Linked DNA regions of Rhinolophus ferrumequinum. The protein of the gene in region 2 interacts with the protein of the main gene of each other region in a pairwise test. Links are inferred from orthologs where the notes say so. Each region holds a gene or a part of one and is shown on either strand. Other genes may lie near its edges.

Evidence for each region. The genes of interacting proteins can lie anywhere in the genome.
Region 1: the proteins of CCDC136 (region 2) and CDK2AP1 interact in binary tests that used the Homo sapiens proteins (3 or more experiments, as listed by UniProt). The two-hybrid records come from large-scale screens. The link is inferred for Rhinolophus ferrumequinum from reciprocal best matches to the Homo sapiens genes CCDC136 and CDK2AP1.

What each region holds. Positions count from the first base shown.
Region 1 is NC_046308.1:4,504,048-4,511,560, reverse strand, and holds the start of CDK2AP1 (cyclin-dependent kinase 2-associated protein 1), read right to left. Parts: upstream 3,013-7,513; 5' UTR 2,936-3,012; coding exon 2,881-2,935; intron 430-2,880; exon of another isoform or gene 419-429; coding exon of another isoform or gene 364-418; intron 1-363. UniProt on the Homo sapiens protein: Inhibitor of cyclin-dependent kinase CDK2. Also acts as a component of the histone deacetylase NuRD complex which participates in the remodeling of chromatin.
Region 2 is NC_046309.1:17,344,730-17,351,865, forward strand, and holds the start of CCDC136 (coiled-coil domain-containing protein 136), read right to left. Parts: upstream 2,931-7,136; coding exon 2,879-2,930; intron 2,395-2,878; exon of another isoform or gene 2,190-2,394; coding exon of another isoform or gene 2,132-2,189; coding exon 2,024-2,131; intron 431-2,023; coding exon 176-430; intron 88-175; coding exon 13-87; intron 1-12. UniProt on the Homo sapiens protein: May play a role in acrosome formation in spermatogenesis and in fertilization.

The DNA of each region.
Region 1 (7,513 bases), on a different chromosome or scaffold from region 2:
AGGGTGCGTGCCTCCAGCTCCCCTCACATCATCCAAACCCCCGTTCCCAGTGAGTGAGGTCTCAGGTTTTGCAGCCCCAGCCCTGAGTTCCAATCCTGACCACTAGAAATTGTGACACCTCTCTGAAAGGCCAGGATACTAACTGTGAGACTGGGGCAGGGGGCGGGGAGCATGGATCATCCCACTACACTTCAAGGTGTCTAGAAGACACCAGCTCTCTGGCAGAGATGGGGGTGGCACCTCCCAGGCATTTTCCTGCCTTCCTCCTCCTCTTGCTCGTTTCACTGGGTTGCTGCCTCCCTGGCCTGTCTTCTCCCTTACAGGCAAGGGTCTAGACTAGGAGCTAGTCCAGCTGTGCCATACCTGGCTGTGTGACCTTAGACCAGCCCCTTCCGTCTCTGAGCCTCAGTTTCTCCATCAGAGGCAATGGTTCCCCACATTGCTCTAGATCCTGTTCTTTCATGGTGCTGGGCTTGGAGGCTAAGGAGGAGAGAGGAGGAACGAGAAAGTGCCCAGTTTTGGTTGCAGGGGTAACCTAGGTGATGTGGCAGGTGACACCAATCCTGTGGCAACGCGGTCCCTTACTCTGTGTTGAGGGGCGGGCAGGTGGCCCTGGAGAGTTGGCAAGGGGCCCAGAGTTATACTCATGCCCACTCCTTCCTACAGACACAGGAAGGGCCAGAGGGTCGTGCTGCGCAAGGCCAGGCAGAAAACCAGACTGGGCGTGAGCGCCGCGTTTCCGAGCATCGCAGACAATGCACGCAGTGTGCGGGGACCAGGGAGGCCGAGCAGAGGGAGGGACTGGCAGAGGCCAGCAGCTCCTGGGGCCAGGCACAGCTCCCCGCCCCCACACCAGACAAAGAGCGGCCTGGGCCTGGGGAGCTGGCGGCCTTCCCGCCACTTGGGGCGCCTTGGGGGGGGGGCTCTCCGTCAGAGAGGCGGGGGCTTTGTCTAACTCCGCCACCGCCACCGCCACCGCCACCGCCGGCCAGGCCGCGGCTTGGCAACCCGTGCGCAGGAGGCAGGGCTGGAGGGCGTGAGGGATGATGGCAAGGAAGCCGGAGGAGCGGCAGCGGAGAGTCCATCTTGGATGCAAATGGCAGGGGGAGATGGGGCTTTCTAAAGGTGTCCACCGGGAAGGGGCGGCCCCCACCGAAACACCAGCGATCCGGGCACCTCAGCACTCCTGGAATTCACCATAGGAGAAAGAAGAAAACCTGCGCAGAGCTGCCAGCCAGCCCAGAACAGGGCTTCAGGGGTCCTGAATGGATGCCCGTCACTCCGTGACCCCAGTCCCCAAAGGTCCCAGGTTAGGGCCCCTGCCTCAACTATTCCTAGGTCAGGACTGAGAGTTCCCGCCTGTCCAGGCTGGTGCAAGACCCTCACCTTTCCTGCCCCAGAAATGACAGATGAGGGAGGCAGTGAGAAATGCTACCTGCACCACAAAGCCTGTCTCAGTAAGGTTTGCAGACCCCAGAGCAGGTGAGAACATTTGAGAAAACAGTGCTGTGTGCTCTTGGGGATCAGAGCCCACATTTGACCAATTCAACTATCCCCCACACTGGTACCCTGAATCTTAACCCTTTCTAATCCCCAAATCTGTGTCCAAGAAGTTAAACACACACAGACACCACACACACACACACACACACACACACACACACGGCTTTTTTGGGTCCCTCTTCAGATTTCTGGAGTTAAGGAGCCACCGTTTGGAGATAAGGCCCAACACTTGCGGCCAACTGCCAGCGTGGCATTTCTGACCTGCAAGGCCAAACCCCCCTTCCCTCCCTTCTGTCCCCTCCCCCACCACCAACGTGCCTCGCTTTTGGGGAAGTATTTCCAACCAACTGTCTAAAGGAGAAGGGCCCTGGTGAGGGGACAAAGCCGGTGGTGTCCGCCTCCCACAATTTTACCTGCCCCTCACCCAGTCTCACTCAGTCCCTAGGGTGAGCCCCTGGGCACAGCCTAAAGCGGCCTGACAACTTCTGGAGGAGTTTCCCGGGACTGCCCGGCTCCAGTCCCAGGGAGGGGAGAGAGCGGCCCCTCCCAACTGCTGCAGGAGGGGGCCTCCTAGGCCCAGACTTGGGGGCTCCGACATGTGGGCCCCGACGGAGAGGTTCCCCCCCACACACACACACACACCGCCCTCAGGTACTCAGAAGCCCCCTGTCCTCTCCAACTTCTTCCACTCGCGCACGCCTGAGGGGGACCTCCCCAGTGCCCCATTCTCGGGACCCCTGCTCCCACGTGCCAGGCTTAACCCCCACTGATGACTGAGTCCCCTGCACCGCGGGTGACCCCCGTCCCCGCCGCAGCCGCCCAGAGCCCTCAGGGGCTGCTGCACCTGGCACGCCGCCGTCCCCCCGGCCCTGCCTACGCTGGCCTGATTTTGCACACGTGCGCCCCTGCAGCCCGGGCCTGCGCCCCCGCTCCCCACCGGCGCCCGAGCCCCGCGCCCCGCTCCCGGCGCGGCCCGGCCGCTCCCGACTCCCGCCGGCAGGGGCCCTCGCCGAGCCGCCCAAAAGCCGGAGGAAAAAGGAACCGAGGAAAACCTCCCCTGCCCTCGCCCGCCGCGCTCCCCGCGAGTCCTCGGCCGCCGGCGTGGGGGGGACGGCGGCGGCCGCCCGCCTGCGCCCGGGGCCCCAGCCCAGCCCCGGCCCGAGGCCCGGCGCGGGGCGGGGCGCACCCGCCAACTTTGGCAGCGCGAGCGCCGGAATCATGGCGGCGGCCGCCGCGCTGCCCCGGGCCGGGACCCGGTGCCCGTCGCCCTTGGCCTCGCGGGGCTCCCGGGGCCGTGGCCGGGGCCCGGCGTGCGGGCCCCCAACTTGGCAGCACTTGGGGCGCGGCGCGCGCGGCCCACGGGGCGCACTCACTCACCGGCGTTGAGGGAGGCGGCGGGCATGTGCGCGGTCAAGTTCGGTTTGTAAGACATCCCCCCGAGCGGCGGGGCGCGCGGGGCGCAGCGGGGCCAGGCCCGCGAGGCGACGGCGGCGGCGGCGAGGCCGGGCGGCGGCGAGGCGGGCCCGGCGTCCGTGCGCCCGTCCGTGCGCCCGCCGAGCTCCCGCGCACTTTTTGTTGTTGACGGCTCGGGCCGCACCGGCAAATATGGCCGTCCCTCACCCTGACACCGCCGCAGTATATCACCCATACATCGGGCGGGCGCAGGGGCGGCCGCAAACTTTGAGCCGAGCCAGCGGGGCCGGCCCGGGCCGGGAGGGGGCGGCCCGGCGTCAGGGGGCGGCTCCGCCCGCGGCCGCGCCCCGCGCCTCCCCGCGCGCTCGGCGCCCGCAACTTGGCAAAGTTTGGGGGGCTGGGGTCCCGGCGGCGCCTGTGGCCCGCCTGGGTCCCTTTCTTCTTTTTCGTTCTCGGCGCCTGGAGATTTTCTATTTTACCGCTTATTTTTTTTTTTTTTTAATAGCTAGGTAGGATTTCACAATTACTTTTTTCCTCCTTGACTGTGGGGGCAGGGATGGAAAATTACCTGGAGAAAATGGTGGCGAATGGTATTTTTAAGCACGTAGATCCTTCCAGACGCCGAGGTCTGGTTATTCCCCAGAATAAGAACAACCAATTCTAACATTGATTTCAAATAAATTTCACATCCTTGTCTGTATTTAGTGGTTTTTAACCCTTTGGGAGCCTGTGAATCCTTTGAGACTGGCAAAAAAGAGGAATCTCCTCCTGGAAAATCCACCCTTGCATTTACATAATTTTGCATCGTAACTCATTCAAATATTTAAGAAGCGCCTACTATGTGTCGGGTACTGTTCTAGGAGCTAAGGGTACAAGAATGAACTTGGCAAAGTTTCTCTACTCTCCTGGGGTTTAAGGTACAATTTTTGGCCCTCCTTCGACCCCACCCCAGCCTATGCTCGAAGCTGACTGAAATGTAATCATCAGATGGATTTAGGATTAGATGATTAAGCTTTTGAAGGTACTATTTCTTGGAGTTCTGCTTAGATGGTAAAGCTCGTCAAAACACACAAGATGCCCACCCTTTGCCATCGTGTTTTAATCACAATGGCTTGCAAATTTTTACACTGGTCCCAAACATTCAGACACACGCACCTAGTGAGGAAGGTTCCTCTCAGCTCTAGAGGGAAGGTATACCGCCCCTGCCCCTTCCCTTTGGGATTGAAGGTGCAGGTGACGTCCCCTCCCCTGCTTAACCAGCACCCCTTGTGATCAGCTTTAGGCTAGTTCATCCAAGGACACTCAATAAAATTTTATTTCATAAATAAATTGTCACCTTCCCCTACCCCCCCCAGGGGCCCAATACTCTGGGATAGCACTGTCTGATCGAAATACATTCCGAGCCACAGATGTGATTTTCAATTTTTCCGTAGTCACATTTTAGAAAGTAAGGAGAAACTGGTGACATTAATCTTTGGTACATATTTTTTAATATATCCACCACACTGTTTTCAATATGTGATGAATATAAAGAAATTAAGATACTTCACATTATTTTTATCACATGAAGTCTTCAAAAGCCAACATGTATTTTACACTCACAGCACATCTGGATTCAGATGCGCTGAATTCAGACCAGCCACCTTTCAAGCGCACGATGGCCACAGTAGCGATTTTCCTATGGGGCGGTGCAGGGCAAGCAGCTACAAGCAGCGGACTCCCAGGGCAGGCCCTAATCCTGGTACCACCACCTATGAGCTGTTCCACTGCACCTCCATGTCCTGGGGGTGAGAATCCAGATCTCAGTGGCCTGCACCAGTCCCGCCTACAAATGTCCTGGGCTCTTTTTCAGTTTTGTTGTGTTTTCACCACCCTTCACTTTTAAGTCCTGATTATCCCTGAAAACATTTTTCCCTTGTTTTTAATTGAGATACAATTCACTTAGCATAAAAGTCAGCTTTTTAAAGTATACAGTTTTGTGGTTTTTAATCCATTCAGTTATACAACCATCAACACTATCTAATTCTAGAATATTTCTGTCACCCCAAAAAGAAACTCCATACCCCATTGCAGTCACCCTTTTCCCACTACCCCTAGCTTTAGGCAACCACTACTCTACTTTGTCTCTATGGATGTACCTGTTCTGGGCATTTCATATGCATGGAATCATCTGACCTTTATCTTCTTTCATTCAGCATGTTTTCAAGGTTCGTCCATGCTGCAACATGTATCCATATATTATTTCTTTATTATTCATGGCTGAATAATATTCCATTGTATGGATAGGCCACATTTTGTTCATTCATCAGTTGACAGACATTTGGTTGTTTTCACTTTTTGGCTGTTATAAATATGGCTTCTATGAACATTTGCGAACAAGTTTTTGTATGAACGTTTTCAATTCTTTGGGGTATATACTGGAATGGAATTACCATAACCCTGTTACTATTTTTTTTTTTAATGTTTCACTTTTTAAGGAACTATCAAACTGCTTTGCTTAGTGTATGCACTACTTTCCATTCCCACCAGCAGTGTATGAGGGTTCCAATTTCTCCATTGTCTTCACCAACACTCCTTGTTACCCTGCTTTCCCGAAAAAAAGACCTAGCCGGACAATCAGCTCTAATGCGTCTTTTGGAGCAAAAGTTAATATAAGACCCGGTCTTGTTTTACTTATTTTATAGTAAAATAAGACCGGGTCTATAATGTAATGTAATATAATATATATAATATTAATATGACATAATGTAATATAATACCCGGTCTTATATTAATTTTCACTCCAAAAGATGCATTAGAGCTGATTGTCCGGCTAGGTCTTATTTTGGGGGAAACACGGTATCTGATTTTATTTTAGGCATCCCAGTTGGGTGTAAAGTAGCATTTCCTGGTTTTGATTGGCCATTTCCCTAATGAATAGTGATGCTGAGCATCTTTTCATGTGCTTACTGGTCATTTGTACATCTTCTTTGGAGAAACATCTATTTCAATCCTTTGCCTATTTTTTAATTGAGTTTCCTTTTTAGGTTAAATTGTAAGGGTTCTTTATATATTCAGGATATTAGTCCCTTCACAGATACATAATTTGCAAATAGTTTTTCCCGTTCTTTGGGTGGTCTTTATTTTTCTGTAGGGTCTTTCACACACACGTTTTATTTCTTGAAGTCCAATAGGTCTCTTTTTTCTTTGGTTTGCTTGTGCTTTTGGTATGCTATCTAGTCCAAGGCCGTGAATATTTGTCACCTGTGTTTTCTTTAAAAAGTTTTTAGTTTTTGGTCTTACATTTAAGTCTTTAACCCATTGTTAGTTAATTTTTGTGTACGGTGTGATGTGGACCCATTCATTCTTTGCAGGTGCATATCCAGTTGTTCTGGCACCATTTGTTGAAAAGACTGTTCTTTCTCCACTGAATGGTCTCGACACCCTTGTTGAGGGTTTATTCCTGGACTCAGTTCCATTGATTTATGTCTGTCCTCGTGCCAGTTCCACACGGCTTTGATGACTGTAGCTTTGTACTTTGGAAGTGGGAGAGCTCCAATTTTGTCTCTTTCAGGATGGTTTTGGCTCTTCTGGGTCCCTTGCATTTCCATATGAATTTTAGGATCTGCTTGTCCATTTTCGCCACACACACAAAAAGGCAATTGGAATTTTGATATGACTTGTATTACATCTGTGTATTAATTTAGCGAGTACTGCTATCTGAGTTGCAACATGAAGTCTTCCAATCCATGAACGCAGGATGGATTTCCATTTATGTAGGTCTTATTTCTTTAACTTCAACAGTGTTTTCAGTGTGTAAGTCTTGTACTTTAAATTTATTCCTAAGTATTTCATTATTTTTGATGCTATTGTAAATGGAATTGTTTTTGCAATTTTTGGATTGTTCATTGCAGCATGTACAAATCACACCTGATTTTTGTATGTAATATTGTATCCTCCAACTTTCTTGAACTCTCTTATTAGCTCTAATTTTTTTTGTGTGTATGAGTATTCTTCAGAGTTTTCTGTAGATAAGATCATGTTATCTGCGAATGGAGTTTCACTTCTTCCTTTCCAAATGGGATGTCTTTTATTTCTCTTCCTTGGCTAATTGCCCTGACTGGAACCTCAAGGACAATGGTGGCTAGTAGTGAGGGCAGGCATCCTTGTCTTTGATCTTGGGGGGCAAGATTTTAGTGTTTCACCATTTAATATGATGGGGCTTTCCATCAATGCCCTTTATCAAGTTGAGTGGTTTCTTCTATTACTAGTTTGTTGAGTGTTTCTATCATGAAAGTGTTAGGTTTTGCCAAATACTTTGTCAGTTTCCCCTCCTTCCCGCTTTTATTCAACAAATATTTGTTGAGTGTCTACTAAGTGTCAGACACTATTCTGGGGGCAGCAGGAAAGACAGTCCCCATCATGTCATGAAGCTTATTACTCTAGGCATGGCAGCCACATTTAGCTGTCTCCTCTGACCCCACCACACTCATCACCTTACCCGTCACCTCCCACTATTTGTTATTTTTCTTCAGGCCAGACTGGGGTATGACCCTGGTACTTGTTCATTCCCACATCTCAGGCTTCATTACACCAACTGGCCCTTGTGCTGTGCTTG
Region 2 (7,136 bases):
GCTGGGATTTACCTTGGAGTTGCTGGATCTGCTTGGTGAACACTTCTGCCTGCTGGGCGCTGGCCAGCCGTTCATCCTCCAAGAGCCCTGCATGGAGAGAGGGCCAGCATCAGGCCTGGGATGGTGAGCATAGAGCATTTGGGCGCAGCCCTCAGGCCCCAGCATGGACACTCACCCTGCAGCTCCAGGGAGTCGTCCTCATGCTGCCCTGCCAGTTCCCGGGTCTCCTCCAGCTCTGTCACCAGCTGCAGCACCTGAGCCCTCAGCTCCTCCAGCTCTGTCTCCGTGAGGCTCAGGCCCCGGTGCTTCCCAACTGATAGGGAACCTACACTGCCACCTTTCTGAACTTGATCTTCTTCTTCTTCCACCTCTTCCTCCTCCTCCTCCTCCTCCTCTTCCTCCTCATAGAGAGCTGGGAGTAACACTTCCCCTAGGAGAGACACCCATCCCGCCAGGGGGTCAGAGCCAACTTCCTTTCCACAGTCCTCCGAGGGCCCTCAAACTCACTGTCCCCGGGCAGAGATGGCATACTAGTGCCACCTGGTGTCCCCCAAAGAGCCCCTGGGGAGGACCTGCACTCCTGAGTCCTCAGGTGTGAGGGTCATATTTGGAGGTAGCCCATTCCCCCGCCCAGGCCCTTTCTGGACCAGTGCTGCACCTGGTGGCCTCCTATTACTGCCTTTGGGGAAACTGAGCAGCTCAGTGCTGGCTCAGCCATGTGAAGTTTGCATAAGAATACCCACTCCTTCCAGTCCTGGTCTCTGGGGCGTGGGACAAGTAGTCAAGAAAAGATTCAGACACTGGACGTGTCTTTAGGCCAAATGGGGCAAGAGTTACAGTCGGGGTCTTTGTAGAGAGTTCAAAAACTGTCCAGGTAGCTTGTGAGAAATTAGCCTTTCCGTAATAAGATCGCATTGCCTGTCAGTAGGCAAACAAAGAAAACAGCTAAATGAAGCGAGTCTCAATGTTTTACTGGACAAACGGGGGCCCTTTTAAATGTGCTCTATCGAATAGCCTTTTTGAAATTTTCCACAAGGCCCACCTTCCTTTTCCCTGCTGAGTGTGTGTGTGTGGGGGGGGGGGGGCGCGGGTTTCCTCTCCCCTCCCTGAGTGTTATGAGGCCTTTCCCGCGGCTGATCAATGTACAGAGTAGTTTTCAGGGCGGAAGTCTGAGGTACTTGTGCGTAAAGTCTGAGGTACTTGTGTGCCATTTTAATGCATTAAGAAACTGGGGTGTGCTGGTCCCCAGCCTCTGGTTGGCAAGCACCCCCTCCTTTGCTGCAATGCAGTTCCTCCAAATAGCAAAAATCTTGTCTGGGTGGTGATTGTTGGCTTTGTTTTAAAATTCTGAATCCCTGGTCTTACTTTCTCCGATAACAGCAGCCTAAGGTTCATCTGGGACCCCTTGCATTTTCTGTTCCCTTTGGGGGAACAGGGTTGCCCACACTGAGGGTGCACAGGGGTCTGAGGACACTTCACAGGAAGTCATGGAAAAACGGACCAGCATCCTTTTAGGGGCCTGGTGTTGGCAACAACTACCAAGGTGCATGGGTGTGGTGGGGTCACAGGAGTGTTGGGAGGTTGGCCTTCTCACCTGTCCCCCTCCCAGGCAATCTCTCTCAGGCAGTATGCGACCCTAGAGCACCAAAGGCACAAGGCTTGCATATAAAGTTAGTGGTGGTGACACCAGGAAGACAATTCACATGCTCACTTCTCTGCTTTTCAAAAGAAGAGACAGGTTGGGATCTGGGTCGAGAGGCAGTGAGAACAAACCCCCTGCAGAAAGGCTGCTTCAAAGCTCTGTCCAACCAGGCCTTTCTCTGTCTGGCAGCTTCCCCAGGACACAACCTGGTTAGCTTGTGATTAAGGCCCCAAAGGGAGGCGCTGGGCACCTCCCTCAAATCCTCAACCCTGAGGAGGGGTGGAGGGGCCTCAGGTGAACTGGGGAAAGGGCCCAGAGTTCTGGGGATCAGAGGGAGGAGGGAAGAGGGGGAGAGAAAGAAAGCTTTCTGGGAAAACTCACCCTCCATAGCTTGCATCCCCCGCCTCTCCAAGGACCCCCAGCGTTGGCCTTTCTTCCTCTCACAGCCCTCGGATACCTCGTAGGAGCCCAGAGTGGTTACTGTGGGTCCTGTGAGCAGGGAGAGAGGAGGGATTGTGGGATGCCAGGGGCGGCTGGGGGCTGGCATGCCTTCTAGCCCTTTGGAGCCCTGAGGGTTTCAATCCTGGTGGACGTGCTCGGCTCACTCCGCCCAGCACCGCGACTCTGCTCCTTCAGCCGCCCCTCGCGCTGGGCCTGCGGGGACCCCGCCCTGCGCGGCCCAACCTCCTCAGCAGCCTCCGTTCAAGGCTCCTCTCCCTTGCACAGACGGAAGGGGCGTGTGTCTCTTTAGCCTAGAGGGGACAGGAGGAGAGGGGAAAGGATGGGAGAGAGGGCAGAAGCTAGTAAAGAAGCGGCTGAAAGGGTGAGGTGGTGCGTGGAAGGGGAGGCAGGTGGCGATGGGCAGGAGGCGCCGTGGGAAGGGGTCTGGGCCAGAGCCGCTCCCCTCCCCTCCATTCTCTCCCTGGACCTCGCCCGCCCCACCCTCGCCCTGCGCTAAGAAGCCTTCGGGGGTGCAGGGGCTGGAGCCCCCTGGGCTGGAGAGACGTGATGGAGAGGGCTCAGGGAAAGAACTGCCAGAGAGGATGCTGCCGGTGGCGGAAGACTCAGCGGGAAAGATGGAGACCGGGCCCGGGTGAGGGGCGGGACGGAGGGAGGGAGATTTAGGAGGGGAAGGTGGGCGCAGCGGAGGGAGGGAAGACGTGGGGGTCTGCAGGGAGGAAAGATGGAGAAGAGGAAGGCGCGGCGGGGGAGAGGTGAGGGAGGGGCGGCTCTGACCTGGGCAGCTCCAGCCCTCGGCTCCCGCGCCGGCCTCGGCGCCCGCCTCCATGGCCTCTCGCGCTGCCGCCGCCGCCGCCGCCGGGAGCAGACGCCGCAGCAGCGAGGCCGGGACCCGGAGCCTGGCGCGCAGGGCTGGGGGGGCGGGCCGAGGGGGCGGGGCCTGGCCGGGCCACCTGACGCCGCCGCCGCCCGCGGTCCGCCGCCGCCTGGAAGCCCGCTCCGCTGCGCGACCGGGTGCGGGCAGGCGGGAGCGGGAAGGGTGAGGGAGCGCGTCCCAGGACGCTCGTGGCCTCGCCGAGCGAGTGGGGCGAGCGGGCCGAGGCTCGTCGGGACTTGAGGTCTCCCCAAGAGGTAGACACAAGATCCCTTGCTCTGGTGATGGGTCCTTCCTGGAGTCGACTGCGCACGAGGACCCGTCTGCGCCATTTGTCAGGTCCCCGTCCCTCTCAGTGGTGGAAGAAAAGGTCAAAGATGGACAAATGCTCCCGGCCTGTTCCTTCCAAACGCGTAGACACGCTCACATCACTCAAGACCCATGCCCCCACCTCCGTTGTTAGCGCTGACCCCCTTTCGCCGCCCCAGCGCGGCGCAGTGGCCTCTCGCTCCCCAGAGCTGCATGAGAAATGGACCAGGGAAGCCAAGGCCGGAATACATGAAATGCGGGTCCTTGATCTCTCTGCTTTCCTGACGCCTCCACCAAGCCAGAACCAGGGACCCTCAGGAGCGCCCGCTCCATGGCCCCACGCAGCCTTGGCTGCCTGGAGACCTCCTCACTCCACCACTCGGCCTTCCCAACTGGCCCTACACCCCGTGGGCTGCAAGCCACGACCCCCACCCACCCTGCCGGTGCAGCCGTCTCAGAGTGCGTACTGCTGATTTTCACTCTGGCAAAAGGGAGAGGTGGAAGCCCAGAGAGCTGGTTTCACTTATTCAGTCATTCACTCAAGGAATGTCTACCAGGAGCCCAAGGCAGTTGTTCTCACATCTTTGCAGGAAAGAAGTGGTGACACACTTGGGAACCTGGGCATCCCAGCAGATGCAGAAAAGTACCAGGAGATTCCCAAGCCAGGGACACACACCAATTCCTTCTCTTGCATACCTACTCACAAAGTCATGGGTACCTATTATCTGTGTCCACCCCCCATCTCCCACCTTCACAAGCCCCCCATAATACTCAGGAAAGAAGTCCTCCTTTGGCTGGGCATCCCCTACTTATCCTTCACCCCTTCATCGGGGTCACCTGTGGGCAGCCTTCTCTGACATCCCTGTGAGATGCCCCTGCTCGCTCCACCCTGCCCTCCTGCCCTCTAGGGCAGTGCCAGTCACTCTGGGTTGTCAAGGTCAGGTGTTTACTCTTCTGTTTGCCCACTTTCTGGAAGGTTGGGGAGTATCTTAGTCATTTTTTTCTTTTTATCTCTAGCATCTGGCAAAGTACCTGACACATAGAATAAATGAGTAAAGGTAAATCTCCCAACTATGCAGTTAATAGTGTCTTATCATTTAACATGATTTCACACTTAGGGAGTTAAATGTTACCTAATAATGATGATGTTGCCCTATAAGTCTCTCTCTCTCTCTCTCTCTCTCTCTCTCTCTCTCTCTCTCTCTCTCTCTCTCTCTCTCCCTCTCTTTCTCCTCTCCTTTTTTTCTCCCCCTCATACCTCCAGCCTGGTGTGCTCTGAGAGATGACGAGCACAGGTCAAGGAGGTTTCATTTGCTCCCCAGATGACAGGATTTCACTCCCGGTCCTGTGGTCAAGGTGACCCAGTCATGGGGAAAGGCTGTTGAACAAGACCACTCAGACCCGTTCCAGAGGGTCTGCTGCATCTATCAGGCTTGTCTAGACTTGGTGAGCAGGGCAATTGTCAGAGATGGTGGAAAGAGGCTGGCATTGGGAGGGTGGGGGTGCAGAGAGCTCTGGGGACTGATAGAGCCTAATGCTGGAAGCTCAGTGGCTATTTGTTCTGCCACAGCACAGCTGTGGTTCTGGCTCAGCCAGTATGGTCAGTGAGCAGTTGACCTTGATTGCTAACTTTTTGGCTGATGGAGGGAGGGGCAGGGGAGGACATTGTCAACTGTGACGTCCGGGGGTCCAACCTGTCCTCGGGGAGCTCTGATCCTGGGCATTAAGACTAATCTCTCCTTGGCTTCCGGGGTGCAGGTCACTATTCACCCTTCATTGGGTAAGTATTCAGGGGAGACCTGAGCCAATCTATTCTCAAGACCCAAATTTGGGCCATCCCTGGCCAGACCAGCACTGGGTTGAGGGTGGGGTGAAGTTAGGAGGCAGGAGGAAAGGGCACAGCAGGTGTAGGTAAGTGGCCTGGGGCCCTGGGCTGCAGCTCAGAAGGGGCGGAAGTGGTTGGAATGCCAGCCAGGTAATCAGCTTAGGGGGATGATGTGCACTAATCCTCAAAATCCCTGGACTCAGGACTCAGCCTCCCTCCTAATCCCTTCCCACAGATCATCCTCTCTGAGGATTGATGTGGCCATTTATCCCCATTTACCCTTATTTCTAACTGCCTAGATCCCTTCATTAAAAAGAAAGAAAATGTGGAGCTTTTAAACATGCAGAAAAGTACAGGACAGAGAATAACATAACAAATACCCATGCACACACTGCTGAAATCCAACAACTGTTCATGTTTTGCCACATCTGGTTCAGAGATAGCCTTTCGATTTATGGTTTTACAGTTTTGCTCCATATGTACGCATCCACAAGCAATACGGAAGATTGATTTGTGTGCTTAAAAACCTATCTAAATGGTGTTCTTTCGTATACATTTTTATGTAAACTTTCTTTTTTCTCAACTTTTTTTTTTTTTTTTTCATGTATCCATGTTGTTTCATGTAGCTCCTCCAATTTGTGAATTTTAACTACGGAATACTATTTCATTGTTTGAATATACCACAATTTATTTATCCATTCTTCTGCTGATGGGCATTTACAATGTTTCCAGTTTTCTGTATTATAAACAATGCTGCCACAGACAGTGATATGCATGCCTCTTTGGCATATATGTAAGCACTTCTCTAAGGTGGATACCTAGAAATAGCATTTTTTGGTCATAGAATATGTGTTTAACATTGCTAGGTAAACTGTACTAGTTATTGCCAAATTGCTGTATCAGGAAGCTGGACCAATTTACACTCTACTTACAGTGGCTTTCGATGCTTGTTTAGATTCACTAACACATTTATAAATTTCTCTTTTCACCATTGTTCTTGGAGTCCACGCCTTCCTTCTTATGAAGTATATCCTTCGGTGGCATTTCAGTGAAACTGTTTGAGTGGTAAACAGTCTCAGTCTTTGTGTTAATCTGTCCTTATGTCACGCCATTTAAATGGAAATTTAGTGGGCATAGAATTTGTGGTTGACAGTTTTTTTCTTGGTCTTTTGAAAATGTTTTATTTTTTTGTATAAAATTTTGTGGCTAATACGAAGTCCGCTTCCAATATAATTGTTAACTTTGTAGGCAATGATGACTTTTTCTTTTTTTTCTGGTTGCTTTTAAGAGTTTTCTCTTCCTCTTCAGTAGTCTACAGTTTCACCACAATGTATTTATAAACTCAGGACTCTTCAACCTGAGGACTCTGTCTTTCTTCCATTTTGGAAAATCCTCAACCATTATCTGTTAGAATATTATGTTCCCCCATTCTTCAGGAACTCCTATTTTATATATATATATAATGGTATGAAAGGCAAAATACACACACACACACACACACATATATATATACACATTATTCTTTCTCTCATGTTTTTAAATTATTCTTTCATATTTTCTATTTCATCACTTTCCCCTCACCACCCCCGTTTTGAATGATTTTTATTACCGCTGTCTTCCAAGTCACTAATTCTCTTTCCAGTTGGGTCTAGTCTACTGTTTAATGGATCACTGAGTCTTTAATTTCAATGGTATGTTTTTCATTTCTTAATGTTTTATAGCCCTCCAATAAACTGCTTTTTTCATCATACAATATTTTTATTATGGTATATTTTCTTATCTTTAGTCTTTAATGCTTTTAAGTATTCTTATATACTTGTTTTTCACATTGTTCTATTATGCACAGTTTTTGGAGTGTTAAGTCTCCTGTTTGCTGTATCTGCTGACTCCTCCTTACGGTGGATTGCTTCCTTGTCTAGTTTATAATATTTCATTGTGAGCTCTTCTTCAGCAGGTGTTTTCGTTTGTGTTTCTGTTTTTTAGTGAGAATCGCATATACCCTTGGTTATGAAAACATTCTTACAGAA